Linked DNA regions of Astyanax mexicanus. The protein of the gene in region 3 purifies or fractionates together with the protein of the main gene of each other region. This does not show direct contact. Links are inferred from orthologs where the notes say so. Each region holds a gene or a part of one and is shown on either strand. Other genes may lie near its edges. The genes, in order: exosc2, exosc4, mphosph6 and exosc5.

Evidence for each region.
Region 1: the proteins of mphosph6 (region 3) and exosc2 purify together in Homo sapiens (affinity purification with mass spectrometry; 8 studies listed by BioGRID and IntAct, with this or other methods). This does not show direct contact. The link is inferred for Astyanax mexicanus from reciprocal best matches to the Homo sapiens genes MPHOSPH6 and EXOSC2.
Region 2: the proteins of mphosph6 (region 3) and exosc4 purify together in Homo sapiens (affinity purification with mass spectrometry; 7 studies listed by BioGRID and IntAct, with this or other methods). This does not show direct contact. The link is inferred for Astyanax mexicanus from reciprocal best matches to the Homo sapiens genes MPHOSPH6 and EXOSC4.
Region 4: the proteins of mphosph6 (region 3) and exosc5 purify together in Homo sapiens (affinity purification with mass spectrometry; 6 studies listed by BioGRID and IntAct, with this or other methods). This does not show direct contact. The link is inferred for Astyanax mexicanus from reciprocal best matches to the Homo sapiens genes MPHOSPH6 and EXOSC5.

The regions. Positions count from the first base shown.
Region 1 is NC_064408.1:20,987,639-20,994,905, reverse strand, and holds the start of exosc2 (exosome complex component RRP4), read left to right. Parts: upstream 1-4,259; 5' UTR 4,260-4,325; coding exon 4,326-4,453; intron 4,454-5,860; coding exon 5,861-5,962; intron 5,963-6,044; coding exon 6,045-6,090; intron 6,091-6,241; coding exon 6,242-6,331; intron 6,332-6,436; coding exon 6,437-6,502; intron 6,503-6,604; coding exon 6,605-6,673; intron 6,674-7,012; coding exon 7,013-7,189; intron 7,190-7,267. UniProt on the Homo sapiens protein: Non-catalytic component of the RNA exosome complex which has 3'->5' exoribonuclease activity and participates in a multitude of cellular RNA processing and degradation events.
Region 2 is NC_064415.1:9,898,924-9,906,635, reverse strand, and holds the start of exosc4 (exosome complex component RRP41), read left to right. Parts: upstream 1-4,698; 5' UTR 4,699-4,758; coding exon 4,759-4,929; intron 4,930-6,243; coding exon 6,244-6,450; intron 6,451-7,712. UniProt on the Homo sapiens protein: Non-catalytic component of the RNA exosome complex which has 3'->5' exoribonuclease activity and participates in a multitude of cellular RNA processing and degradation events.
Region 3 is NC_064409.1:59,103,906-59,111,871, reverse strand, and holds the start of mphosph6 (M-phase phosphoprotein 6), read right to left. Parts: upstream 3,016-7,966; 5' UTR 2,854-3,015; coding exon 2,803-2,853; intron 1,253-2,802; coding exon 1,140-1,252; intron 245-1,139; coding exon 154-244; intron 55-153; coding exon 1-54. Other genes in the region: snx20 (sorting nexin-20), read right to left, coding at 4,566-5,234, 6,476-6,630, 6,709-6,820. UniProt on the Homo sapiens protein: RNA-binding protein that associates with the RNA exosome complex. Involved in the 3'-processing of the 7S pre-RNA to the mature 5.8S rRNA and play a role in recruiting the RNA exosome complex to pre-rRNA; this function may include C1D.
Region 4 is NC_064416.1:2,328,492-2,335,720, reverse strand, and holds the start of exosc5 (exosome complex component RRP46), read left to right. Parts: upstream 1-4,210; 5' UTR 4,211-4,290; coding exon 4,291-4,390; intron 4,391-5,265; coding exon 5,266-5,379; intron 5,380-6,075; coding exon 6,076-6,197; intron 6,198-7,188; exon of another isoform or gene 7,189-7,229. Other genes in the region: bckdha (2-oxoisovalerate dehydrogenase subunit alpha, mitochondrial), read right to left, coding at 2,972-3,085. UniProt on the Homo sapiens protein: Non-catalytic component of the RNA exosome complex which has 3'->5' exoribonuclease activity and participates in a multitude of cellular RNA processing and degradation events.

The DNA.
Region 1 (7,267 bases), on a different chromosome or scaffold from region 3:
ATGCTGTAATTATCCCACATGAAGTTTAAACAGTCATATGCTAAGGTTTATCACCTCTGGGCAAATTCTTCCCAATTTACAAAGAAAATCATATATATATATATATATATATATATATATATATATATATATATATATATATATATATATATATATATATAAGAAAAGATAATACTTTATTACTCAGACACCAGGGAAATGACAAACTTCTGCAAATGATCACATGCTGTAATTATTCCACGAGGTTTAAACAGTCATATGCCAAAGTTTTATCACGTCTGGGCAAAATAGGGTACATTTAGTAGATTTCATGCAAAAAAATCTTATTTATTAAAATCTGCAACTTTACAGGAGAGGGTAAATCCTTATTAACCTACAAACAAAATCATATATAAAAAGATGTTGTCTAATTTAAAGTTTTTTATTAATCAGCCACCAGGGAAATCATCACATGCTGTAATTATTCCACGTGAAGTTTAAACAGTCATATGCTAAAATTTTATCCCCTCTGGGCAAAGTACTGTACATGGAAAATAATGGATTTTATGCCAAAAAAATCTCAGCTCAAAAAACTAAATAAAAAACTTCAACTCTACAGTAGAAGGAACATTCTTCTTATCATACAATGAAAATCATGTATTAAACACCTTTGTTCCTAATAAAAAAAGTAATTTAATAATATAAGATAAGCCTTTATTAATCACACAGTGGTAATATTTGCAATGTTACAGAAGTGCAGAAAACAATTAATACTGAAGACATCAGAACTTTAAAGGAACACCTTTTAAACTTTGAAACGATTTAGTGTCGGAATTTCACATATGAAGGAATGTTAAATAAAGGTGGTTTTAATGCAACCAAAAATGTATGTTTATTTAATGTTCCTTGTATCAGGGCTGGTTTACAAGTGGAGGCCACATCTATGTTCAATACATACCAGGTGCTGGTCAACGAATTAGAATAATTTGAAATAGTGAAATCATGACATTTTTTGAATGCATTTTTTGTGCAGAAAGCAAATCAGGTGTTCACCGCACCTGTCCTACTCGTTAGACTAATCACAGAACTCGTTACCTGGAAAAAAATTTGCTCAGCTGAGCTTTCCAAAAGGCCCATTTAGGCCATTTAACTGTGACACTGTTGTTTTATTGAATTAGAATAATGGACAAACCGTTTCATTGAATTAGAATAAATGCTCGAATTTTTGTTTTCTGTGAAGAGTGTTCACTGTGCAGTATAAAGTCAGGGTTGAGTAGAATTTCTAAGTTGTAAAATCAATCATGGGTAAGCAGCGTGACCTCTCAACCGGAATAGTGGCTCAAATTCAAGCCCTTCGCCAACAAGGCTTGACCCAAACTAAAATTGCTGAGCAGCTCGGCATCAGCCAGTCTTCCGTCTGCAAAGCTCTCAAGAAAAACTGCAGCAAGCGCACCAACTGTTCCGGCGTCCGAAAAACTTCTGCTCGCGACAACAAGCAGCTGAGAAAGATCGCAGTCAGCAACCGGTTCAAGTCCACTCCCGAGCTCACCGACTTGTGGAACAAGCAGACCGGCGCTGACGTCTCCAGATCAACCACTTACCGTCGTCTGCGCGAACTCGGCTTCAAATCTCGCGTTCCAGCAGTAAAACTGATGCTGAACAAGAAACAAATGGAGAAACGGCTGAAGTGGGCCAAAGAACACGGCGAGTGGACTGCTGAAGACTGGCAGAAAGTGGTCTTCAGTGACGAATCACGCTTCTGCATCTCCTTCGGTGACCAAGGTCCTCGTGTCTGGCGTCGTGGTGGCGAAACCTACAACCACGAGTGCGTGAAAAGATCCGTCAAGTTTCCCCAGAGCGTTATGGTCTGGGGATGCATGTCCGCTCGAGGTGTAGGGAAACTCTGCTTCCTCAAGAAGACTGTCAATGCTGCCGTATATCAAGATGTTCTGGAAACGTTCCTGATTCCGACTGTTGAGGAACAGTTCGGCGAAGAAGACTTCATATTTCAACAGGATCTTGCACCGGCTCATGCGGCAAAGTCGACCAAAGATTGGTTCACTAAAAAACAGCTTGAAGTTTTGGCATGGCCGGCCAACTCGCCTGACCTCAATGTCATTGAAAACCTTTGGGCCATTGTCAAGCGGAAAATTCGCGACAGAAAGCCTACTACGCTGGACCAACTGAAGCAGAACATCGCCACTGCCTGGGAAGCTGTGAGTGCGGAAACTTGCGACAAGCTGGTCAAATCGATGCCGCGGAGACTTCAGGCAGTCATACAAGCCAAGGGGGCAGCCACAAAATACTGAGAAAGTGATGATTGTAATTATAATAAAAATTATTCTAATTCAATGAAACGGTTTGTCCATTATTCTAATTCAATAAAACAACAGTGCCACAGTTAAATGGCCTAAATGGGCCTTTTGGAAAGCTCAGCTGAGCAAATTTTTTTCCAGGTAACGAGTTCTGTGATTAGTCTATCGAGTAGGACAGGTGCGGTGAACACCTGATTTGCTTTCTGCACAAAAAATGCATTCAAAAAATTTCATGATTGCACTATTTCAAATTATTCTAATTCGTTGACCAGCACCTGTATATGGTGAATATGGTGCTGTTTTTACCTTTATTTATCTTTTATTATTTTATTATTATACAATCTATATTTTGTTGTAAAAAGGTTTTAAATAATTGTAATGCTTGTAAATGCTTTTAGGAATATAATAATCTTATCTGTATTACTTTTTAAAGCAATAGTTTGTCAGTGCATTAGCTGCTGTGCTGTGACATATGTTGATGTAAAAAGGGCTATGAAATTAATTTATTTGAAAACAGACTCAGTTTGCCAGACAGGGGTTAAGCCTAGTGTTTGATTATAGAACGTTTTAAATTTAAATGTTCTGCTAAATGCTTACTGACTCAGTTTAACACATGTTGGGGGAAACACAGCTCTACAGCCCCCTCTAGCGCCACACAGAAAAATCACGTTTTAAGACAGGACAGTGTATTTGGATAGTGAATGTGTCCTTTGTGTACATTATAATGTAAAGGGTAAAGGACACTTGCTTCTCATTATATGTGTCTACACTATATATATATATATATATATATATATATATATATATATATATATATATATATATATATATATATATATATATATATATATATATAAATAAAAACATTAAATGAGAACGAGTGACCAAATATATGAATGGTACTGTAGTATAAGTTGCATACAGTTGTACAGGTATGTGTGCTCTGTTTATTTCAATAGGGTTTATATAAGCTGAAGTGTTTTTCTTTCTTGTTATGGGTTTGTGTTTAAACCCAAAAACATTTTTTTTGACTTTTAATGATTGTTTAGAAATAATTTTTAATTTTGAGATCTGTAGCTAGAATTGTACACTGCACTCTGTGGGGGCACCAAAGCCTAAAGTGCCTTCCACTGTTACACCCACCTCCCCAAGCACAGATTCTATTATTCACGTGGGCTGAATGTTAATATATAAGTGCTTGGCCTTAATTTGGCCTCTTTTAAATAGTCTTAGACATTGATTTGAGATATTTTTTTGTAATTTTGCAGGCTGCCAATTGTTTTTACACAGTATGCCCTTTCAGAAAATCTGTAGATTACATTTTACTATTAGGGTACTTATAGTGCACTTTTAGTGCATTATTAGTGTACAGTACAAGTCAAAAGTTTGGACACACCTTCACATTCGATGTTTTTCTTTATTTAATGTATTATCTACATTGTAGATTAATATTAAAGACATGAAAACAATTAAAGGGCACGTATGGAATTATGTAGTTAATAAAAAAATTGTTTGTCCTCCACAATCCCCTCATCTAAACGTGATTAACTGAGATGGTGATTTTGGATGAGCTGCCTGGAGCTTTAGCAAATATTGTTCAGCGTCGTTAGGAACTCTTTTAACACGCTGAGAAAACAATTTCAAGTGACTCTACGTCATGAAGATACTGAGATTAAAATATTAAGAGTGTGCAGATCTGTCCTCAAAGCATTTTCTGGTTTGTTTAACACTTTTTGGTTTCCAGAATAATTCTGCATGTGTTCCTGTATAGCTTTAAATTGTCTTCAATATTACAATTTTACAAAAAAAAAAAGGTGTGTCCACATGTTAGACTGGTCATGTATTTTGTGCTAAAATGCTGTTGGTTTTGGTATTAGTCCTCGTAGCTTGTGCTTGTTCTATGGTTTCTGGCGGAGTCCCTCTTTATACCAGCAGTGGCCACACGTGGCAGGAGTCTCCCAGTCTGTAGATGTTGGTGTTTCAGAGAAGAAGAGCTCAGCCATTTTAGAAAACACAGCTCTGTGGGACAGCATGGCTGTGGATATGAGATTACCCACTGCCCGAAAACTCATCTCCCTGCCCGGCTCTCTGTCTAACGCTGAGGGTAAACACCTGGTGGTCCCGGGAGATGTGATCACATCTGATACAGGGTTTATGAGGTAAATATGCGCTTAAACAAACCTGCAGGAGGACCACAGGTCTGATCTGACTAGCCTGCTATCCCTACATTAACTAACCTAACCAGGCTAAATTAACTAATATCTGTGTTTTTGCTTCGGTGTCACTGTCTGTTCACCAGCTAAGAGTTAAGATAAGTAACGTGTGTGGCCTGTACCAGTAGCTCGACTGAGAAACACAAACATTTATTTTGTGTATGGGTTCAGTGTTGGCCCCACATATGGATGTTAGTTAGTGATGGGACCAGGCAGGAGGGGATTGGTCAGTGTAAGTTAACGTTTAGCAGTTTAATTTTCTGACCGTATCAAGCTAAATTCAAAAATACAAAATTGAGTATAAAACCTTTTTTTCCATTTAGCATAGTGAAGAAGAAATGTGTTTTGGTCAGTGTTACGTTTATTAGTTAAATTTTCTGACCGTTATAGGCTAAATGCAAAAAAATAGAAAATTGCAAGTAAGAACTCATTAATTCTTTTTTTTAAGTGTAGTGTACAAGAAATAAGTTTTCATACATTTTTCCAATGTTAGTTTTTTAATCTTTGCCCCTTACAATTATAATTTCAGGAAAAAAAAATCTTTTATTTTTAATTTTTTGCATTTTGCAAGTTGGATTATAACATCAGATTTGTGTTACATGATACAAAAATGGACAAATCTGAAAATCGAGAGAAGATTTAACTTTTTATTTTCTTGAAATTCTGTTTGCGAAAGGCTGAAATAAAAAAAAACTCAATAATTGAAAAATGGGATGCAAATCTATTTCTTTTCAGCAAATTAAATTGCTAAACGTTACACTGACCTATTTTTATCTTTTTTTTTCAATTATCTTGTTTTTGTTTTGGCTTTTTCACAACTGTACATTTTATTACAGAGAGTGTTAATAATGTAAAAATAAAAAAAATGTTAAAATCCTGTTTATTAGATGATGTGCCGCAAAAGCAAAAAAAAATCTATTCAATTGAATTATGTGCAACAAAAATTACTGTATTATGCATGAAAGATTATCTGAACAGCAGAATCTTTCTCTGCTGATGCATTTTGTCTGCCTGTTAAAATATGATTATTACTGTTTTTTGTAATACAATATTTTTATTTTTTATTTAAACAGTGTCAGTATATCACCATGCTTACTTTATTGCAATATATTAATGATATTCAGTGATATTGAATCATAACCCCTAGATCAGGCCTGGGCTTTTTAAGGCTGGGGTAGTGGGCCTTTTCATACAAAGCCCTTCACTTATTACGCATCAGTACTGCTTGGGTGGTAAAAACAATAAGAACAACAATAACCCATTTTTTAACCCCCGGTCCACTTTTTAACGCATGTGAATGCATACTTTTTTACGTAAATGTTATGTACTTAATTTCTCACTTCCTGTCTTCAGGGGTCATGGAACCTACATGGATGATGAGAAGCTCACAGCCTCAGTGGCTGGGGAGGTTGAACGTGTCAACAAGCTGATCTGTGTGAAGCCACTGAAGACACGGTCAGTGGTCTTCTGAATGCTGTGTCTAAAACATTACAATTAACATGTATAAGATTTAATATTCTTTGGGTGTTTTTTACAGGTTCAATGGTGAAGTTGGTGATGTGGTGGTTGGCAGGATAACAGAGGTACTATGTTTATGTTTAGAGTTCTCAAAATTCTTACATTCTTTCATACATTTTTAGAAGCACTGTAATTTTAAAATTAGTCATAAGCCTCATCCCTCACAGAAATAAGCAACATTCTTCTCAATCATCTTTACCTATTCTTTCACTGTAGGTTCAGCAGAAACGTTGGAAAGTGGAGACCAACTCTCGGTTGGACTCTGTATTGCTTCTGTCCTCAGTAAATCTTCCAGGAGGAGAGTTGGTGAGCTTAAATACTGATTTAATAATGTTTTTATATAAAAATATTGCATTGTTGTTTGAGTTGCGTTGAGCTGTAATAAATACTGTAAACCCTATTTATTCACAGAGGAGGCGATCAGCAGAAGATGAGCTCACCATGAGAGATTATCTTCAAGAAGGGGACCTCATCAGTGTATCCTGAAAGTAGTGATTGTTTTAAAATAGTGAAATTATGTAATTAAATAAGACTGTGTTATTTTTGATTATGTAGAAAATTTAACTTAACTTGTTCAAGGCAGAGGTACAGTCCGTCTTTTCAGATGGAGCTCTTTCGCTTCACACCCGCAGCTTGAAGTATGGCAAGGTACGAACAACAATTCTTCAGTATGATTTTATGAAACTCAACTGAGAAATATTGATTGAAAAAAATATTGATTTTATAATTTATTGTTTGCTCAAGTCAGTGTAATTGTAGGTACTGTTGAGAGCTTACTTTCATTTTGATAAAAGAAAAATGGACATTAATGCAAAGTTAAAATTTACAGCTCAGGTGCCCATTTATGAATGTAGCTTTAGCTTTTAGAAGAAGTTAATTGACAGGTATATGTTTACCTATTTAAAAAGAAGGTTTAAAATGCATCTTAATATTTGCGACAGTGATATTTCAGTTTACTTGGCCTGATTTGTGTTTTTCCATTCTTAGTTGGGACAGGGTGTACTGGTGCAAGTATCACCATCTCTTGTGAAGAGACAGAAAACCCATTTCCACAATCTGCCCTGTGGAGCTTCCATAATCCTGGGGAACAATGGCTTCCTTTGGCTGTACCCTACACCAGGGCATCAAGATGAAGAGGCAGGAGGATACTACACAAGCCTGGAGGTCAGGAGAACATGATTTTATTAATGGTTGAAAACATAATTTTTTTTCAGCATGTTTTATACTGTGTTTAGAAGTCCA
Region 2 (7,712 bases), on a different chromosome or scaffold from region 3:
CAAAACTATAGAGCTGTGGGTGGCAGTGGGAGGTGGAAAAGTTATGTAGGCCTGTCATGATAACACACAAATCAAACATATATTATATAATTATGACTACCTTCTTGGTTTTTTACAGCTCCCATGATCATATAGGACACTTTATACACCTCTTTTTAACCTGTTCTTCAATACGCAGGACCCTACAGTAGAGAAAAACACCACAGATCAGCTATTACTATTATTAATTGTGTATTGTGCATTGATTTTTCTCAGCACTGCAGTGATTAGCACTGATTAGCATGGTGAAGGTGGTGTATGAGGTGTTAGTAGTGTGTGTTGTGCTGATGGTACAGTGAGTGGATCAGGTACAGCAGCAGTGCTGCTTGAGTTTTTAAACATTCTGTTCACACACTTGCCTACAGCTGCTCCACCTTCTAGATAAAGTAAAGTCAGAGACAGAAGCTCTGAAGCTGTTGCTACACAGTTTACAGTGTTGGTTTTTATCTAGTGGTTCATCAGTGTTCACAAGAAGATGACTGCATTGAGATGTTTAAAAACTCCAGCAGCACTGCTGCATCTGATTTACTCACTGTACCAACACAACACGCACTACTAATGCCTCATACACTACCACCACCATGCTAATCAGCGCTAATCACTGCAGTGCTGAGAATAATAATGACCCACCACCCAAATAATAATAATAATAATACTAATAATAATAGCTGCTCTGTGGTGGTTTTCTTTTGTGTGGGTTCTGAGTATTAAATAACAGAAATACAGTCTGTAATTATTATAGAACTACAAAGTGTCCTGTTTGATTAGTGGAGCTGATAAGATGGATAATAGGTGTAGAAACAAGTTGTGGTCATAATGGTATGCTTAATTGTTCTATATTGTTGAAAGTAATTGAGCTAAACTATATTGTTGGAATTTTCAGACTACCATATGCCACTGATATATGGATATTATATCATAACATTGCAATAGAACTATTTATTAATAATTCTTAATAGATTTGGAGATCTTCCAGATTTTAAGTTAAAAGTTAAAGCTGGCTCAATTTCTGTTTGTGTTCATTCTTCAACAAACACAGCAAACACACAAGTAAAGGTAATGGACCATATTACAGTATGCAATATGTTTTGAGGTAATTTCCATGTAATAATACATTGATAAGTCAGTAATTGTGATTATCGTGGCAGGTCTACTTCCATGTTTGCCTTAGAAAGCCAAACACTACTGAGCCAACATAATTAGAGATACCCTGTTATATTGGAGTCATATAAGTATTGTACTAATTCGTTTTACTTTAAAAGAAGGAGACTGTTTAAGTTAATGCACAGAAAGACTGTTTACACCTGGTCATTTCATAGAATTTAAATATTAGAATTATATCTGGACACAAGCAAACTATAAACAGATACAAATCGTATAACTCAAACCACTTCAGAAACACTTCCAACACTTCTATCTCAGAAAATTAGAATATTATACAAGACCAGTTGATCTTATTGGGCAGTGTGCCAAGTCCTGCTGGAAAATAAAATCTGCACCTCCATAAAAGCATCAGCAGAGGGGAAACCATGCAGTGCTGTAAGATTTGGATTTCGTTTTCCAGCAGGACTTTGCACACTGCCAAAAGTACCAGTTGGTCTTATATAATATTCCAATTTTCTGAGATACTGAATTTTGGGTTTTCTTTGGCTGTAAGACATTCTCATCAACAAAACAAGAAATAAATGATTAAAATAGATCACTCTGTGTGTAATACGTCTATATAATATATGAGTTTCACATTTCAAACTTAGTTATTTAAAATAATGTAATAAATGCACTTGTAGGTGTTGGATACTCGCCACATGATGTGACCAGGTGTAAACAGGGTTTAAGATGAATACATGATATCTAAATATCTGATTGGATTACTACAGCATTACTAGGAATATATTTATTTAAAGTTTTAAATTAATAATTTTACTGACTTTTTTTGTGCAATACCATAAAAGAACCACTTTTGCTTCCTGATGAATCAAAGAACCATTTTTGGTGGATAAAAACAGATCTCAGAATGGTTCTTTATACTAGCATTTTAATGGTATTACACAAAAAAAACAATGTTTAATCACTTTTAAAGATCTGATTATTTGGAGAAAAAAAATGCTAAACAAGTTTAAAACCTACAAATCACTGTCCAAAAAACAAAATCTTATATACTATTTTTTTTGCATTGTTTGGAACCGGCAGCTTTTTCTTGTATACCTTTACATTGTGTGAACCCTCCATGATAAACGGACCAATAGAATTGCGCCAAATGGGTTAGAATGAAATGCTGTTACACTGACTTTCATTAAAAGCTAAGAAATGTTTTGGCATCTCTTTATAATAAGTGTTACACATTACACATGTAGTTACACATTAACAGTTATGGAATATCATACTATGTAACCACACACTCTGTACCACAAAACGGTACAGAATTATTATATTTGTACCGGTTATGTAACTGGATGTGTGTTTATAGTCATTTTTTTACAATTTGTGTTTTAATAGGGCAAGTGAAATTACATGTCATAATTTGTGTAAATTATCACATGTGATAATGTGTTTGGAATATGTGAATATATTTATATTTCTCCAGGTATTGTCTGGTAATTAGTAATTTAATTACTATTTATGTGTAACTCGTTTTACATTTATGGCCTTTAGCGGATTCTTTTATCCGGAGTGAAGTTGGAGGTGGACCAATGTAGTGTTAGGAGTCTTGCCCAAGGACTTATTGGTGTAGCACAGCATAGTCACCCAGACCTGGAATTGAACCCCAGTCTCCTACATGGTAGCTCAGTGGCAGGTGGTGGTGTTATCCACTGCACCACATCAAATACACCAGTTTTCCAACATTTCCAATATCATTAATTAGATTAATTTAAGGACAGTAGGACAAAATATTAATCTATGTCTAACTGGCACTGATATACATGTAATTACATAACCTGTACAACTGCAATTAATCTTTTATCATTATTATTACATGGTTGTTAATGTGTAACCACACAGGTATTAGAGACACTTATTACAAAGTAGGACTAAAGTTTTTCCTTCTTCTGTTAAGTCGATGTTTTGGAGATGTGCTTTGTTTCTTGGATAGTGATTATTGATTTACACTGACATGCCAAGTGTAATGGAATGGTAAATAATATTCCCATGACTTTTGACCTGTCCAAAACTACTCCGAACTGTGGGATATGTGTGTGGGGTCTTCTGAATCGAATGTGAATGTGATTTCTGCTGGAGTCAATTTAAGTCTGTTTGAATGGACATTTTTTTTTATTTATTAATTTGTGGGCATTTTCAAAGCATTATTTTACATAATGCTATCCCCTGACTTTTGGCATGTCAGTGTAAAACCTGTGGTTTTGTGTTTTTTTAGAGTTCGTCCAAAACCTAAACTCTAAAACTGTTCAATTTAATTGCCCCCCACCACTGCACCCCAGTGTGCCCCTGATTCTGCTGCTGAACCTCAGTCCTCATTTCTTTCTGCTGACAGAATGTAGAGCTGCAGCTCGTAGGGATTCGTATGGTTTGCGAAGCCTGATTTTCTGAGGTACATTCTCACAGACACACTTAACGTTCTGAAGAAAGGATTATAAAAACCTGACTGGGGCCTCAGTCGGCCTCGGCTCCTCTGTATCACATAATTCAGTTCTTCTTGTTCTGCTCATAATGCGTACATGCATTTGTTTCTTATCTCTGTTTTTATTTATACACATTAGAGATGCTAATAAATTTTATTTTTAAAATTGCATGGTATGTTTTATTCTGACGTCTCTATGTTCTAATAACAGTAATGTGCACTTTGGGTGGATAATGCAGTTTGAGCCAAGGATAAAAAAAAAAAAAAAAAAATGTTTTCATTGTGATTTACTGTTGACTTCCCAGCATGACTAAAGACAAAACTTTATTAATTTATTTCTCAGAATAATAATTATTCATATTAAAATTTTCTGAAAATATCTTTTCCAAGAATCAAGAGGAAGATGGATGATCACAAGCCATCAAACCAAACTGAACTGCTTGAATTTTTGCACCAGGAGTAAAGCAGCATAAAGTTATCCAAAAGCAGTGTGTAAGACTAGTGGAGGAGAACATGCCAAGATGCATGAAAACTGTGAATAAAAACCAGGGTTATTCCACCAAATATTGATTTTGGTGTGACGGAAGACAAGCAGAATGAGGAGTTCTGAAGTTACAGGGTTTTTATTTTTAGCTCAGATTCAGCCAAATGCAACAAAACTGACTGGAATGACCCAAAACATACTGTGCAAGCAACCCAGATGTTTTTTTTTTTTTTTTTTTTTTTAAGGAAAATATTTATGAGCAAGGTTGCATACATATACAATTTCTTGTTTGTTTGTTTTTCTCTTGATTGTTTCATATTTATATTTTTTTTATGTAGAATGTATGCAGCTTAAATTAAACATAAATTGTGATATTTATATTATATATCTATCTTTTATAAATTGGAGAACATTGACAGTGCAGCCTACTTGCCATTTATATATAGTTTGGTAAAATAATGTGCTAAAAACTGTACACATTTGTTAAAATTTTGATTTACGTTAAATATGTACTTTTACTTTTTATATATATGTACATATATATGGTAAGGGGGAGCTCGGCCGGCAGGGGGCGTTCGGTGTGCGGTCAGTAGTCGGTGTTTTGGGCTGTGCGGGGACCCGTAGTGCGGGAACACGTGTTGTGTGTGCGGGAGTGATCATGGCGGGTCTGGAGCTGCTGTCGGATCAGGGGTACCGGCTGGACGGGCGCAGGGCGGCGGAGCTGCGGAAGCTGCAGGCCCGGATGGGGGTGTTCGCTCAGGCGGACGGGTCGGCCTACCTGGAGCAGGGAAACACCAAGGCGCTGGCGGTGGTGTACGGCCCGCACGAGGTGAGGAGTGCCCGGGGCAGGGGTAACTACAGCCCGGGGGGGTAACTTACAGCAGGGGAAAGGGGGTATAGAGTAAATAGAACAGTACTGTACTAAACTTTATATTATAATAACTAAAGATGGAATTGCAGTTATAGTGCTTTAATTGTAATGTGCTGGAGTCCCAACACTTCTGTCCATATAGATATAGTGCACCTACACCAACCAAGCATAACATTATGAGATTATGACCACCTTTTTGTTTCTGCACAAAAAACTGTCCATTTTTGCAGCTCCACTGTTTATACAATATATAGCATTTTGTAGTTCTATAATTACAGACTGTAGTTCTGTACCTGTTTCATTGTATACTTTATTATTGTCCTCTAATACTCAGGACCCCTCATGTCACCTTTAGAAGGCGGTCTAATATTTGTATAGACACATGTTATAGGGATGCATCAACATGGGAATTCTGATTACACATTTATAGCTTTATACCTAAGAGGGACTAGACAGTAGGGCTGCAACTGATGATTATTTTGGTAGTCGACTAATCTGATGATTATTTTTTCGATTAGTCAACGATTATTTCTGCCACATTCTCTGTCTTATTTTATAACTATATATTATATTTAATTATAGAAACAGCTGAGTATGAGATCTAAAAGATATATAAACATTCAAATGTTGTTTAAATGTGGAAAGTACTAATTTTTAGTAGATTAGTCCACAATGAAATTTGTAGTCGACAAATATAAATAATCGACATTGTCGATTATATCAACTAATCGTTGCAGCTCTACTAGACACCCCCAGTGTAACTAGAAATAAATGTAACATTTATTTACTTTACATTTTAATTTTTAACCAAGTTTTTCTACCAAAACTTTTCACATATTTTGGCTTTACATTTTATGGTTTCACATTTATTTAGCTAACTGGTCTTTACATAGACTGGTCACAGCTTTGAACTGTCTTTTCTTTTTTTAAATAAATATACCTGTTGAAACTAATTAAAATAATAATAATAATAAAGAATTAGCTTAAATCAATTAATTTTAATGTAGCTTGACCAGTTTTGACCCATTGTAGTAGTGCAGCCAGGTTCACTTGGTAATGTAAAATAATTTATTTCAGGTATTTTACGAGACTTTCTATTAATTCATTCTTCAAGGATTTTTGATGCAGTGTAGAAGACAGTGTGTGTGCTAAAATTATAAATTAAACTAAAAATCAACAAAAAATGGAAGCTAAATGACACTGCACTGAACTGTGAGATGTGTGTGTAGGGTCTCCTACATGTAACATGTATTGATCAGTGTGTACTTACAGGTCAGAGGGTCCCGCAGCAGGACCCTGCACGACCGCGCCGTCATCAACTGCCAGTACAGCATGGCCACGTTCAGCACTGCGGAGAGGAAGCGCCGGCCGCACGGCGACCGCAAGTCCAGTGAGATGAGTCTCCATCTGAAACAGACCTTCGAGGCTGCTGTCCTCACCCAGCTCTACCCACGCTCCCAGATCGACATCTACGTTAAAGTACGGTACATTTCCTGCTTCAGCTTCTACTACCCAACATGGCTAAATAAATACAACACACCCACTGCACATCTAAAAGAGTCGAGGGAAGGGAACCGGGAAAGCAGTACATTTGCAGGACAGTGGGGCACCTGGATCACGATTAAAGGAACCTTGGTTGAGCTGGTCAAATCGCGTGACTAACGTCATTGGTGTTCATTCCTGGTTCAGGAGATATATCATATTGTGTTATTTGCTCCTCATTTATGAGGCAGTAATTTATCTGCACCATTCAGTTAAACATGAGTCAACATGAGAGAGGCCTTCGGTTTCTTAGGAGTTATCTTGGGGTCCTTTGTGACCTCTTGGAGTGGTCTTTGTTGGTAGACTATTTTTTGGGGAGAGTAACAATGGTTTTGAACTTCCTTCATTTGTACACTATAATCTGTTTTACTGTGGATTGCTGCAGTCCAGCCTCTTTAGATGTGGTTTTGTAACTTTTCTAGACTAATGAGCATCTACAGCTCTTTTTCTGAGGTCTTTAGGAATCTCCTTTGTTCGTACCACTATACACTTCCACAAACATGTAATGTGAAGAGCTGACTATATCCTCCTGAGGCCTGGACATAAGCCTGACATTTTTTACTTTCTCCTAGGTATTTGGGATTACTAGGACCTAAAAAGTATAAATACTAAACTTTGTCCTTGTACAGGAAGTCATTTTTGCTAAATTTTAACATTTAAAAAAGACCCTTTCAATTTGGGATCAGAAGGACAAGATTAGTGCAACAGCTAAATGTTAGCTTTCTACAAAAATAGAATAAACTAATTTCAAACATAAAAGTGGAGGATAATTTTTACCTGGCCCATGTTTCTGTCTGGAATGGCTGTAAAAACCTTTGACTGGGCTTCCCGCCGATTGGTTTTCAACCAATTTAGTGTAATGTTGTCATGTTGAGTCCACTTTATGGTACGGGCAGTGTCTCCATATGAGGCCAAAGGGTCAATGTTTTAAAAAAGCTTGGTGCAGAGAAGCAGAACTGTAATGTCCACATATGAGGACACTGGGTCTCAAGAGGTTAATAGATCCCAGTTCTGTACATAGAACAGGCTCTGCCCACTCTCACCTGATTTCACCTTTAAAGTAACTGCTTATCCTAGAGGTTCACATACTTTTGCCACTCACAAATATGTAATATTGGTCCTTAATAATAAATGACAAAATATAATTTACTTTTAGGACTTGAAACTGTGAAAATGATCTCATGTTTCAGATCAAGATA
Region 3 (7,966 bases):
CTCCTCTTCATCATCCTCCTCCTCTTTGGGAGCATTCATTAGAACCATCAGCTTCTGCAGAGCATTTGATATCAAACAATAATTAAAACATTTAATAAAAGTGTAAAATTCATATGTAAAATATAAGTGGGGGGAAATGTACACACAGTTTACCTCAACTTCAGGATTGAAACCCCTAAATGACATTCTTCCATAAACCAAGTCTTCACATGGCACATAACTCCTTTCTTCAACAATGCAGCTTCTGAATAAGTAGAAAATACAGGTAAAGTTAGAGGAGAAGGCTTGTTGTCAAAGTTACTTCTAATCGACCAGCAGGAGGTGGGGGTTGGGGAGGGAAGGAATAGTGCTTTTTTTTTCTTCCCTAAACATTCATATCTGGAACCCAAAATAAATTGCACCCTTGTGCAGTAGTATCTAATTGTGATTTAATTAAAATAGTCTCCACTGACACCAGCAAAAGCAGGCACACAAAACTTAGCTTGCTAGATAAATGTGTGACTAGAATAGCAAAGCTAAAGTAAATTAATGATTAAAATAGCACTACTGTCGTAAACGTATTATACTTTGTTGATGTGTCAGCTAGGGGACAAAAATGTTAGCTGTAAAATAGAAAATATTTTAAAGTATATTTTTGTTATTATTTTTTTTGTCTTTAAAAAGCAACATATACATTTAGGCTGTGATCTATATAGTAGAGAAAAAAATCAGTTTATTCCCTTTTTAATTTTAGACAAACTTTTTTTTGTGCATCCCTAAAGCATGTGTTTAGGTCTGGCAGTGCTTTTGACATTGAAATGTTAAATTTGTACAGGTTATGTTATCAAAATGACCTACTCTTCCAAGTTTAGATGATAAACTGATTAATTTCAGATAATCTATTAAATGATTAACAGTAAAGAATACCAGTATAGATTATCAGTGGTGATGGACCTTATGGGCTTCAGTCTATGTTCTGAAATGTATATGCTGCTCCTCGCTTTTGATTGTGCAGAGCATTTACATGGTTCAGGTGTGGCAGAGGAGGGCCATGAGTTGGTTTATTCATAGGAACTTTAAATATAATTATCCCTATCTCAAAAATAAAACATCAACTGCATAAGTAAGGCATGTATGGAAAAGTCAAAAGGAAAGCTTACTCTTTGGCTTTAAGCTCAGGCAGGTCCAGATACCAGTGCTCATCACTAATAATTCTCTTCTCATCTTCCTCCAACTGTTTCCTTGCCTCAGCATCAAGGCCTCTTTGCATAAACTGTGGGGACATAAAGCAAAATTATTTAAGAGATACAAAAAATAATCTGTAATTCTGCTGTTTACACCTATAGGCTTGCAAAGTGGACAGAGAGGTTGACTGCATCAACAGTTAATGTATTAATCTGAATGTTAACAAAATTGAATTTTAAAGGAAACACGTGTTAGCTAACTAATATTATTTTAATATTAATACCACACCAGCCACAAACATTTTCTTTTATGGGCAGAAGTGAGGTATTAAGTACTATAGGGCTGGGAGATTAATCAGATTAACTGAATTAGCGTTTGAATACGATTTTTCAAAATGGGATCATCAAGATTGTACACCTTTATATGAAGACATTTCAGTAGACAGACATTTGCTTCTGTCAGAAACTTGTAACTCTTATACTGCAGTCATTTTAATGTTTCAGACTTTTCTGTAACTGGAATACAAGCATGTTATGTTTGTACAGTGTTTAACATACAACTCTGGAAAAACAAATTAAGAGACCACCTAAAAAGGATAAATTTCTTAGATTTTACCGAATTACAAACCTCTGAAATATAATCAAGAGGAAGATGGGTGATCACAAGCCATCAAACCAAGCTGAACTGCTTGAATGTTTGCACCAGGAGTGCCATAAAGTTATCCAAAAGCGGTGTGTAAGACTGGTGGAGGAGAACATGCCAAGATGCATTTGGTTATTCCACCAAATATTGATTTCTGAACTATTAAAACTTTATGAATATGAAATTGTTTTCTTTGTATTATTTGAGGTCTGAAAGCTCTGCATTTTTTGTTATTTCAGCCATTTCTCATTTTCTGCTAAGAAGGTTTTCCATAGTTTATAGAATAAAACAACAAAGTTCATTTTACTCATTTATACCTATAAATAGCAAAATCAGAGAAATTCATTTAAAAACGGAAAAAGCTGTAAACCTACATGTTATGTTGAAGGAGGATGTTTAATATTAAACAAAAATAATAATACAAACGAAACTGAAATTAAATGTAAGTTCAAGGACACAATGGATTATGCAACACTTTAAATAGTGCTGTCTGCTTAAAATGAAAAATAACTAAAAATCATAACCGAGAATACCTTATAAATTTGAAAAATATAGATTTTTCCAGACCTAAAGTACTATATAGCTACGTTAATGTCACTTGTCCGTGCCATCCCATGGGCTTAACTAAAATAGTTTTCCCTTACGAGGAAAAGCATGGCAAAAGTAAGCCCAAGCCAAGAATGTATCTGCACAACTGTGGAGGAATATAATTTAGCTTAGCTTTTGTGTTTTATTACTTTTCTTTATGACTTTATTTTAATCATTTGCTTTATTTGAATATTTAGCACGATTGTGTTTGGGATAAAATGGAAATAGCACTGCTAGTTAAATGATAAGCGAAGTTTTGAACGACAAGAAATGCTGTTTCTTTTGTTTAGGGAGTTGTTATACATATTGAAAGTCTCATTAAAGGACATTAAATGGGAATAAGTGAGTTTTGGTGGTTAAACCAGGGCTTCTTCTGGTCAGTGAGGATCCACAGCTAACAGCACTCACCTTCATCCGCAGCAGGTTTTTAGATAACTTCGCTGAACCGTCGTTTGCCATTGTAATATTCTTGATTATGTTGTTGTTGTTGTTTAGCTCGGCTTCACTGCAAGGTCAGGTTTTATCAGTCAGTGTAAAAATCTTCAGGCTCTGATCTGTTTACTCCGCTAAGCTAACCGCTCTCATCTCAACACGCTGGATATAAATATGTGCGCATGCTCAGGACTGCAAAGAGACACGGTTAATCGCACGGTCGAGCCTGAAGCGACTAATCATGTCTGATCTCGAGTTCGTGAGCTACAGCACGTTTTTGGTTCACCCAAAGCCAAATACTATTCAATTAATAACTATTTTTGTTGAAGCAATGGCAGGAACACTTACTCTCCTTTCGTATTTCCCTGTTAAGTAAAACAAAAAAATATTAAGCAAAAAATAATAAAATAAAAAGTAAAATAAATACATAAATAAAAACAGAAATTAAGATGTAAATAAATTTTCAAGGCTGCATATCATGAAATATGAAATACTGGTCCATGCTCCATTGTAAATATCCTCATAATCAGTCATGTACACTATTTTATTTTTATTTTTTCTTGAAAATGTGAAAAAAGACTCAAGAACAACTTGCCTGTTTCAAATAGTCTACGCTGGTTTTAGAGAAGCTGGTTTTCAAGGTGAAAATTGAATAAAAAACAAGTCAAAAGTATTATTTTCTACATTATAGATTTATTTTGAAGACTTCAAAGATTAAAGAAACACATACCCCATCAAGAAAATTGTTAAACATGACAAAATATATTTTATACTTAATCAAAGCAGCACCTTTTGATTTTTTGGGTGTGTTGGGCCAAACACTTTTTTGTCTACTACCTAACTACATATGGCTTCCCTCATATTTTTATCATAGTTTTTATGCTTTAATATGAATCTACAATGTAGTAAATAATACAAATAAACAACAAATATTAATACGAATGTGTATCCACACTTTTGAATGGTACTCTATGTATGTATGTATGTATGTATGTATGTATGTATGTCTGTGTGTTACCCAGCTCTTGACCAGTGTATGCCGCCTTTGATTTTGTTCTTGCTGGTCACACAAGTCTAAGCTGTTCACACTTGGTTATACTGATGTTCTAGCTTTTTTAAGTTGATCATGCTTTGAAGACTAGCTGTTTATTAAGCCAAAAACATACTGTTTGATGGTCAACCGTCTTGGACTGGCCGTCAGACAGTATGGAAAATTCCCAAATCTTTCCATCTTTTTGATACCTGAAATGTACATGTACATAATTGAGCATGGCGCTACCAATTAAACTTTAACTTAACTTAAAGTAAAAAAAAAAAAATCTGTTTTTTATCAATAGCAAGTGATTTTATGATTATATCCAAGTTTAGTCTATAACCTTGTTGACTCTGACCTTGTATTTATATAAATAACAATATATAACAAAGTATAAAAGTCATAAGCACACTATAAAAATAAAATAAATCTTTGATCAGAAAATAAGAGACTATGAGTGATAAATAACTGCTATATGCAGAAACATCAAAAAATCTATTTGTGTGGTATGAGCAGTTGATTTGAGCAATGATCCCTTGTTGCTTTGAATAATTAATAACTAATTAATAATGATAAAAACCTTTTAATCTTTTCTGGCTCCCCCAAACTTCATATTCTGTAGATTTTGTATCTCAAGAAAAACACAAAAATATACAAAGTGAAAGTCAGTATCAATAGCATTTTTTTCCATTATAAATCTTTGGAATCATGTAAACTCTTGCACCACAAGCTCTTTTAGTGACACTAGTGATATTTGTTCACGTGGTGAGTTTTGAACTTTAATAAGTTCTGCTTGTAGCTGGGCCACGGGTTGCTCCATCTTATACCCAAGATCCACCATGGCTTCCAGCAGAGGGGCTCGATACTTGCTTAGGCCGTAGCGTCTCACTGCTGGCAGTGCCCTGTGGCCAGTCTTAAAAGCAGCATGAAAATCCTGCAGGTCCCTCTGGCATACCACCAGTGCACACAGGGTAGGCACCAGCAGAGTGGCATCATGGGTGGACAGCTTTTCTTGGAGCACTAAAGCGCTCTGTAGGATCTCAAGGGCTTGGGAGAAGCGACCTCCCCGGAGCAGATCATGGGCAGCCTTCAGCTCAGAGTGGGTGAAGAATGCTATGAAAGCAGGTGAGCGGCGGATATAGCGCAGGGAGTAGAGCTGGGTCAGGTAATCACACAGGGCCACACGTCTCTCAGCAATGTTCTCCTCTGAGAAGTTTCCCACCAGTTTCTTCCTGGGAAGGGAGATGTCTTCTAGTTCCTCGCTGAAGTCCTGAAGCAGCTGATGGTGGAGATGGAGGAAGTCTGAGTAGCGACGTTCAATGGCCACCCGCTCACCGTCATAACTGCCTGATCTGATCACCACTATTTTGTACACCTGTGATAAACAGTATAGATTAAGTAAGTCCAAAACATTTGAGTCACTATTTCTTATTAATTATCTAAACTTGATCGTGACACTATCAGAACTATTCATTTTTCCGAGCTGGCAACAAAAAGCACAGTTGTAGAGCGGTAGGTAATTATTAATTATTAAGGTATTATTAATTATTAAGTAGGTAATTATTGATGCTTTTCCCCAACAGTGTTCATACACAATATTGCCTAAAGTATTTGCTCACTCATTAAAAATAATTAAACTCCCGTTCCAATCACTTCCATGGCCACAGGTGTATAAAACCAAGTACATAGGCATGCAGACTGCTTCTACAAACATTAGTGAAAGAATGGGTTGCTGTCAGGAGATCAGTGAATTCCAGCGTTATATCGTGATAGGATTTCCAGTCGTGAAATTTCCTCGCTACTTAATATTCCTCAGTAAACTGTCAGTCTTATAATAGCAAAAAGAAAGAGACTGGGAATAAAAACGGCTCGCTCTGTTAATGTAAAATGACAGAGCGGAGTCAGCAGATGCTAACGTGCTTAGGGTGCAGAGGTCACTAACTTTCAATCACTACAGATCTCCAAAATTCATGTGGCCTTTAGATTAGCTCAAGAACAGTAGAGTGCAGAGAGCTTCCTATTATGGGTTTCCATGACAGAGCAGCTCCATTCAAGCCTTACATCACTAATAAGGCAGGTGAGTAGATACTTTTGACAATATAGTGTATTAACTTGACAAAATTGTGCAGGCTACAGATATGTACTATATAGCCAAAGAAATGCTGCCATTATTATTTTTAAAAAGAATTGTTTTAAAGACAAGAAACTCTTTCATAAACAATTATTAATTAAAATTAATTTTTAGAAGGGAGTAATTACATTATTACATCATATTATCAGGGGCATAAAATGATAATATAATTATCGTCCAAAGAAAATTGTAATTGTGACAGGCCAACTTTACAGGGGTTTATTAATTTACAATTTGCTGCACTTCATCGAAGTAAACAAGACTTTACACTAAACAAGAATTACACTAATTGCATTTATGATATTAAAACATGCCTTTGTTTAATGTTTGACATAACCTATGATATTTCAAGAAAAATATACTTTATATCACAATACCCAAATTGATCAAGATACAATAAAATATTGTTTTATTTCCCACCCCTAATATAAAATGTGTCCTTAATAATAAAATAAGAAAAAATCATCATAGTCTCTTTCACTTACCACATATCTAGAGGTGGCTTGCTCGATGGTGCGTGTAGAGGGGATCTCAAACAGCAGTTTAATACATCTGATCTCCTGTTTCACGGCCCTCCAGTGCTGCTGAAGCTCCGCTGTGGTCAGACAGGAGGCACTGAAGCCTGGAGATGCCTCCAGACCTATGACAAAACAGAAATTTGAATGAATGAAGTCCAAAATTTAACTCACAATTACATACTATAGAAAACAACACTAACCAGTATCAACTGATGTTTCTTGATGATGCTCAGACTCTTTAGGATGAGTGGTGCTGGTTCCTCTTTCATCACCAGTCCTCAGGTCTAGTAGACGGGCCTCTGAAGAATCCATGCTCAATTCACCAGACAGTGACTTGAGTGACCGGAGCTGCACTCTGCACAGAAGATGAAGAAAACATGATTAAAATGGATCTATGTCTGTGGGGTGACAGACTGCACTTCCTTGTCAGGAAGCTAAAATTGGCTGTGTTGGAGGAAGTGGCCTGAGAGCAGGACGCAGAAGCAGGCAGAAGACGACACAAATGGAAACCCACCATTTGTAACCGCACAGAGGGAGTTCAATAGTTCCACAACAACAAAAATAGGTGGCATTTTAGATAAAAAATTCTCATTACCTGTGTGTAGAAATGTTGGCTCATGCCCATGGTGACTGCTTCCCTCATTCTGTAGGCCCCAAGAGTCCCCTGCTGCAGTTACTACATCTACATAAAATGACTCATATAAACCCACATTTCACAAAATTACAATTGTTATACTATATGTATATAATGTCTACTAGACAAGTCCTTGTGTAAAGCTTAAATGTCTCCTTGGCAAATGCTGAAATTAGGCATGAAACCTAACTGAAAGGAGGAACTGAAACCTAAAAGAGGGAGTGTCTGTGCTCTTCTCAGCTTTCACAAATCACTCCATATATCACACACTGGTTTGCATACAAAAAAACTCCACAGTGTCAAAATTAGGACAAAAACATAAGTAAAATGAGAGATTTGTGGTACTACATTGATTTATTTATTATCTCTGTTTTAAACTCAGATTATCACTGCTGTCCACTAGATGGGGATGTTTACAGTAATTTTCCTCACAAGCGAAGTTCAGATAAGCATCTGTCTAGAAAGGCCTTCACTGTAAACACATGCAGACACGTGTGTGCGGTTCTTCACATTAGTAGTAGAAGCAGATTGGGCTGTTGACAGATGAATATTGCTCAATCCATTATCGTTATACAGTCTTTTATTAAGCGTTTTAAAGACAAGAAAATATCTCCTAAACAAATATTCATTAATATTATGCTCTTAAAAATGAAATTACATACCAGTGGCATCATTTATCATATTTTTTTTTCTGAGACTATTTATCACCCCCCAAAAAATATATTGTGACAGGCCTACTTTACAGTGATTTACTAATCTAAAATTAGCCTGCTGCTCATTCCCTAATGTTAACCCCTGAGATGGCCAGTACGCAACAGTGAGCG
Region 4 (7,229 bases), on a different chromosome or scaffold from region 3:
TAATGACTTACTATCTCAAATAAATTACCTACTATCTTAAGACAAAGAGATAGTATCTCAAAATAACAAATTTACTATGTTAAAATATAAACCTACTGTTTAAAAATAACTTGCTATCTCAAAATAACGACGTACTTTCTTAAAATAATGAGAAAGTATCTAAAAATAACTCTCAAAATGACGTACTATCTCAAAATAATTACCTACTATCTCAAAATAACGAGACATTATCTCAAAATAACGACTTAATATCCTAAAATAATGACTTACTATATCTCAAAATAATTATTTACTATGCCTTACTTACTATCCCAAAATAATTATTTATTTCAAAATAATGATTTATCTCAAAATAATGACTTACTGTCTCAAAATGACTTACTATATTACTATATACAGGTGCTGGTCAACGAATTAGAATAATTTGAAATAGTGCAATCATGAAATTCTTTGAATGCATTTTTTGTGCAGAAAGCAAATCAGGTGTTCACTGCACCTGTCCTACTCGCTAGACTAATCACAGAACTCGTTACCTGGAAAAAAATTTGCTCAGCTGAGCTTTCCAAAAGGCCCATTTAGGCCATTTAACTGTGACACTGTTGTTTTATTGAATTAGAATAATGGAGAAACCGTTTCATTGAATTAGAATAATTTTTATTATAATTACAATCATCACTTTCTCAGTATTTTGTGGCTGCCCCCTTGGCTTGTATGACTGCCTGAAGTCTCCGCGGCATCGATTTGACCAGCTTGTCGCAAGTTTCCGCACTCACAGCTTCCCAGGCAGTGGCGATGTTCTGCTTCAGTTGGTCCAGCGTAGTAGGCTTTCTGTCGCGAATTTTCCGCTTGACGATGGCCCAAAGGTTTTCAATGACATTGAGGTCAGGCGAGTTGGCCGGCCATGCCAAAACTTCAAGCTGTTTTTTAGTGAACCAATCTTTGGTCGACTTTGCCGCATGAGCCGGTGCAAGATCCTGTTGAAATATGAAGTCTTCTTCGCCGAACTGTTCCTCAACAGTCGGAATCAGGAACGTTTCCAGAACATCTTGATATACGGCAGCATTGACAGTCTTCTTGAGGAAGCAGAGTTTCCCTACACCTCGAGCGGACATGCATCCCCAGACCATAACGCTCTGGGGAAACTTGACGGATCTTTTCACGCACTCGTGGTTGTAGGTTTTGCCACCACGACGCCAGACACGAGGACCTTGGTCACCGAAGGAGATGCAGAAGCGTGATTCGTCACTGAAGACCACTTTCTGCCAGTCTTCAGCAGTCCACTCGCCGTGTTCTTTGGCCCACTTCAGCTGTTTCTCCATTTGTTTCTTGTTCAGCATCGGTTTTACTGCTGGAACGCGAGATTTGAAGCCGAGTTCGCGCAGACGACGGTAAGTGGTTGATCTGGAGACGTCAGCGCCGGTCTGCTTGTTCCACAAGTCGGTGAGCTCGGAAGTGGACTTGAACCGGTTGCTGACTGCGATCTTTCTCAGCTGCTTGTTGTCGAGAGCAGAAGTTTTTCGGACGCCGGAACAGTTGGTGCGCTTGCTGCAGTTTTTCTTGAGAGCTTTGCAGACGGAAGACTGGCTGATGCCGAGCTGCTCAGCAATTTTAGTTTGGGTCAAGCCTTGTTGGCGAAGGGCTTGAATTTGAGCCACTATTCCGGTTGAGAGGTCGCGCTGCTTACCCATGATTGATTTTACAACTTAGAAATTCTACTCAACCCTGACTTTATACTGCACAGTGAACACTCTTCACAGAAAACAAAAATTCGAGCATTTATTCTAATTCAATGAAACGGTTTCTCCATTATTCTAATTCAATAAAACAACAGTGTCACAGTTAAATGGCCTAAATGGGCCTTTTGGAAAGCTCAGCTGAGCAATTTTTTTTCCAGGTAACGAGTTCTGTGATTAGTCTAACGAGTAGGACAGGTGCGGTGAACACCTGATTTGCTTTCTGCACAAAAAATGCATTCAAAGAATTTCATGATTGCACTATTTCAAATTATTCTAATTCGTTGACCAGCACCTGTATACCATATATATATAGTATACCAAAAAATACTTACTCTCAAAATAATAACTAACAATTTAAAAATAATAATATAGAAGTTAGACAGAAAAAAAAATCAAATAATATATATATATATATATATATATATATATATGTATATATATATACATATATATATATATATATATATATATATATACATATATATATATATATATATATATATATATGTATATATATATATACATATATATATACATATATATCCCGCCTTGAAGCGTGTTATATTCCACACCCCCGGAGCGGACCAATCAGAGCGAAGGAAACGGCGCAGCGCCGTGAAGGTTATGCGCATGCGCGGTGGCTAGGTTCTCGCAGCCAAAACAAATAGACCGGTTTCAGTAAAAAAATATATAATATAATATAATAACTTCATATTAACCTCAAAATCAGCAGCATAAACCAGTTATTAATAACTAAACTTATTAACAACAGCTGAATATGCGGTTTATTAACGCTTCACACAACCATACACACTATTAAATATATAAGTTACATTAAAACATATATATTAAATATTAAAATAAAGTTATATAGAACCACAGCGTTACAGAGTCTGTGGACAGCTGTATTTATCTATCTATACTGTAGCTTATATGCTTGTATTATATGTGTGTTTTAAACAATATAAGCCAGTGTTGTTTTTTTAGTCCAGGTGAGCAGCTGGTTTACCTGTATCAGATTCACCTGTATAATAATATTGCATCTGATAATAACCCCTCACGTGCTGCTATATATCTTTATTACAGTATAAAGCTCTAGCTGAGGGTTATATATTAAATATATATCTGCAGGTGGGCATTACATGCTACTGTTTAAGCTGCAGCTCAGATCAGACCCACAGGAACACCTGTACAGGTGAGCAGCGCGCGCTGTGCGGGTGAGCAGGTGAGGTTACCTGGGTGCGGAAGGCTCTCCGCTGCAGGGCTCTGACCGAGTTTAATGCTGAATTTTGGCGAAACGCGTGAAAACCGAGTCCGACCCATTTCTGCAGCCTCCGCACCGCCGCCATGTTTCAGCCTTACTGTCCTCCCGCACCGCGCTCACAGCGCCTCCTGCTGCAGCGGCGGAGACACCGCACTGTATATACACTATGAATATAACTGAGAAATTACTGATTATATATACACACAATTACAAAATCAGCATTTTAATACAACTAATATTTCACTTTCAATATTTCTTCACATCTCTTATAAATTCATTAATTCCCTAAGAAATAACACACTTAAAAAACAACAAAAAAGAATATATATATAGTAAATTATGTAGCTAAATTAAAAAAAGATAAAATTGCTAATTAATAATTAAAATGAGAAAACAATATTGTTTATGATAATAATGTAACTAATGTTTCATTTATTAATAATAATAATAATAATAATAATAATAATAATAATAATAATCATCATCATCATAATCATAATAATAATCATAATCATAATCATAATAATTGTTATTATTATTATTGTTATTATTATTATTATTAATTATTATAATTAAAAAACAACAACAAAATGCAAGAAAAATGTGTAATAGCGGAAGCATGTAAAAAGTTATATGTGACGGTGTATAAATAACTAAACAGTTTCTATTAAAACTTTTATTATTAAACTATTATTATTATTATTATTATTATTATTATTATTTATTTATTTATAATAAAGGTTAAAGCTGCAAATAAAAAAATGACATCAGCATATAATAAAATAAATTAGGAAACATGGGAAAACCAAATACAAGAAAAATGTATAACAGAGGAAGCATGTACATAAGATTGTAAAAAAAACGGTGTCCTTTAATTAAATTAAGAATTATTTTAAATTACTTTATTAATAAAATATAAATAGCATGGTTAAATAATGAATAAATGACCGCCTTCTGTTTTATTTAACTTACATTTATATATTTGTTCCTTGGAAAAATACTATATTAGAGTATTATAGTATTTTTAAGAAAATAATTCAATTACAAAACACTATTGCAAATCAAATCAATCCTCTTTCTTATTTAAACGAAAATTCGTTGTAAATAAAATGCCTAATAAAATACAGAATATTTTAGCTTAACTAGTGTAAACTGATTTACTGTTTTTACCGGTAGATTAAGGACTTTTATCTTATTAAAGCGTCATCAGAGTGCGCGGTAAACAGTGACGCTGTGAGCGGGCGACGGGCCGGCGTGCTGCAGTATCGCGGGGTGCAGGGTTCGGCAGTGATGGATCAGATAGAGACGGGTTCGGGTTCGGTTCTGAGGGAATACGGGAGCGAACAGAACCTGCTGTCCAAACCGGACGGATCAGCGACCTTCCTACAGGGTATTTATCTATATACTGTCTCTGTTCTATTGGGTTCTATGGGGTTCTAAATGGGTTCCTCTGGGTTGTGCACTTGTTTACAAGACTCTATATTGACTATATAGGGCTCCACAGAACTCTACCCTGTTCTGTAGGTATCTACAGAGTTTCTATATGGCTATATAGGGTTATATAGTGCTCCAAAGGACTCTAGTGTTCTATAGGCCTGCACATGACTCTACAGTGTTCTGCACGATTTCTATAGGGCACTGCCGAGCTCTACGAGTTCTATAGGGTCCACATGACAATATATCAATTAGTCATTTAGGCAATCAACCGTTATTTTCACTCAGAAGTACATTAAGGGCAACCCTCATTTTCAATGTAGCATTCACAAATACAGGGATTAACATGATGATAAATTAAATAATAACTACATTTAATAATCTTAAAATAACAGTTAATAAAAGAGAGGGTTTCTGTAGGGCACTACAGAGCTCTATAGGGTTTCTATAGGCCTCCACAGGACTCTACAGTGTTTTGAACGTCTCTACAGAACTTGGGTCTATATGGCACTGCAGAGTTCTATATTGGTTAAATACGGCTCTACAAAGCTCTATATGGTTTTTATAGACAACCACAGAGCTCTACAGGGGTTCCATATGAATCTACAGGGTTTCTATAGGGCACTACAAAGCTCTATTTGGTTTCTATAGGGCACTACAGAACTCTACAGGGCATCCATAGGGATTTAGAAGGTTTCTATTGGACATTACAGAACTCTATAAGGGGCTCTACTCTGCAGGTTTCTGGAGGATTTTTCTGGGTTCTGTATTGATCTTGTGTTTGTGTGTGTGTGTGTGTGTGTGTTTCTGTAATGGTATATGTGTTTACAGGGGACACCAGTGTGTTGGCAGGAGTTTATGGACCTGCTGAAGTGAAAGTGAATAAGGAGATCTATGACAGAGCGACTCTGGAGGTGGTTGTCCAGCCTAAAGTGGGCATGTCAAGTAAGTAGCTCTGTGTTCAGAGATACTAAATAAAAAAATAATTTATTAATTAATAATACACTATATTGCCAAAATGCACAACATAATTGTACTCACAACTAGTTATTTATTTGATGTAAAATGGACCTTCTAAAATGTTCTGTGCATTATATAATATTTAGTCAATGCGCAGAGCCGTCATCATTAAGCATTAAAAAATGGAATAGTTATAATATAATATATAATATAATAAACTTTGCTTGTATATCATCAAAAAAAAACGCAGCTCAAAATGCTTCAATAAAATTAAGTAAAACAGAAAACTGTAAAACGTAAAAAATTTAATAAACAGTTTTTGTCATTTTAGTTCACATTAATATATTGTGCACACTCCTGTTTTGGAATTTTATTGTATAACTAAGTGCAAAACATACCTGATGTCTGAAAAACTGAGCACAATAATGCAGCATGAGTCTACTAGTAGGTTAAAGTAATATTTATTGTTAGAGCCCTATTTAATTAATGTAATTCTCATTACAATACAGTGAACATATTAATTTATTTATAACACTAATCATGCTTTAATATTCCTCTAGATTAAAAGCCTGTTGTTGGTTGCGTTACCCCCTCTCACCACAGGGTGGTAGTCATGTAATAGTGAAAATCTGTGCGTGTGATGAACGTTCACTAATCCGGTTCTGTAACCCGGTTCTGTAGGTGTGCGGGAGCGTGCGAGGGAGCAGTGTGTGAGGGAAACGTGTGAGGCTGTCCTGCTGTCCACTCTTCATCCTCGGTCCTCCCTCGCACTCATCCTCCAGGTGGTGCACGACGACGGCTCTGTATCCTTTATAAATCCACACCTGTTTATAACTAGTAACGAGTCTTTCTCATCTCTGGAGGAATTTAGTTCCACTCTTCTTTACAGAATTACAGTTTTAATTCAGACACATTGGAGGATTTTCCAGCATAAACGTCTAAAACTGTTTAAGATCATCCACAGCATCTCAATCAGACTTTAACTAGACCCTCCTAAACCTTCATTTAGTTTTTATTTATTTTTAATCCATTCAGAGGTGAACTTTTTGTTTGTGTGCTTTGGGTCATTGTCCTGCTGCAGAACCCAAGTACTCCTGAGCTTGAGGTCAGTAAGGAACAGATGGACGGATTCTGATTCTCCTTCAGGATTTTCTGGTAAAAACAGCAGAACTCCTGCTTCCATCTATTACAGCAAGTTAAAGTCCGGCAGCTCCAGACCATCATAACGCACACACTACCACCACCATGTTTTACATTTTACGTTCAGTGAGAGCAATGTTCTTTTATTGCTGAAATTATGTGTTTATTATAGTTTTATGCCAGATGTAACGGGACACACACCTTCCAAAAAGTTCCACTTTTGTCTCTTCAGTCAAAATATAATATTTACCCATAATTTTAAAAAGGAAAAAACAATTTTTCCTAAAGAGCATCATGATGTTAATTGATAAATGTTGTTCTGGGTTCTTTTGGGATCTCATGGATGAGTTGTTCATGCCCTTTTGGAGTAATTTTGTTCGGTCGGCCGGTCACTCCTGGGAAGGTTCACCAGTTTTCCATGTTTTTTCTAGGGGTGTGACGAGATCTCGTCAAGCTTAAACCTGTCTCGCAGGGGGAAAAAAACAGTAGTTTAAAAGCTCCGCGGTACAGTTAAAAAGCTCAGTTAAAAAGCTCAGCTCAGTTTAAAAAAGCTCCGCGGTACAGTTAAAAAGCTCCGCAGTACAGTTAAAAAGCTCAGTTAAAAAGCTCAGCTCAGTTTAAAAAAGCTCCGCGGTACAGTTAAAAAGCTCCGCAGTACAGTTAAAAAGCTCCGCGGTACAGTTTAAAAAGCTCAG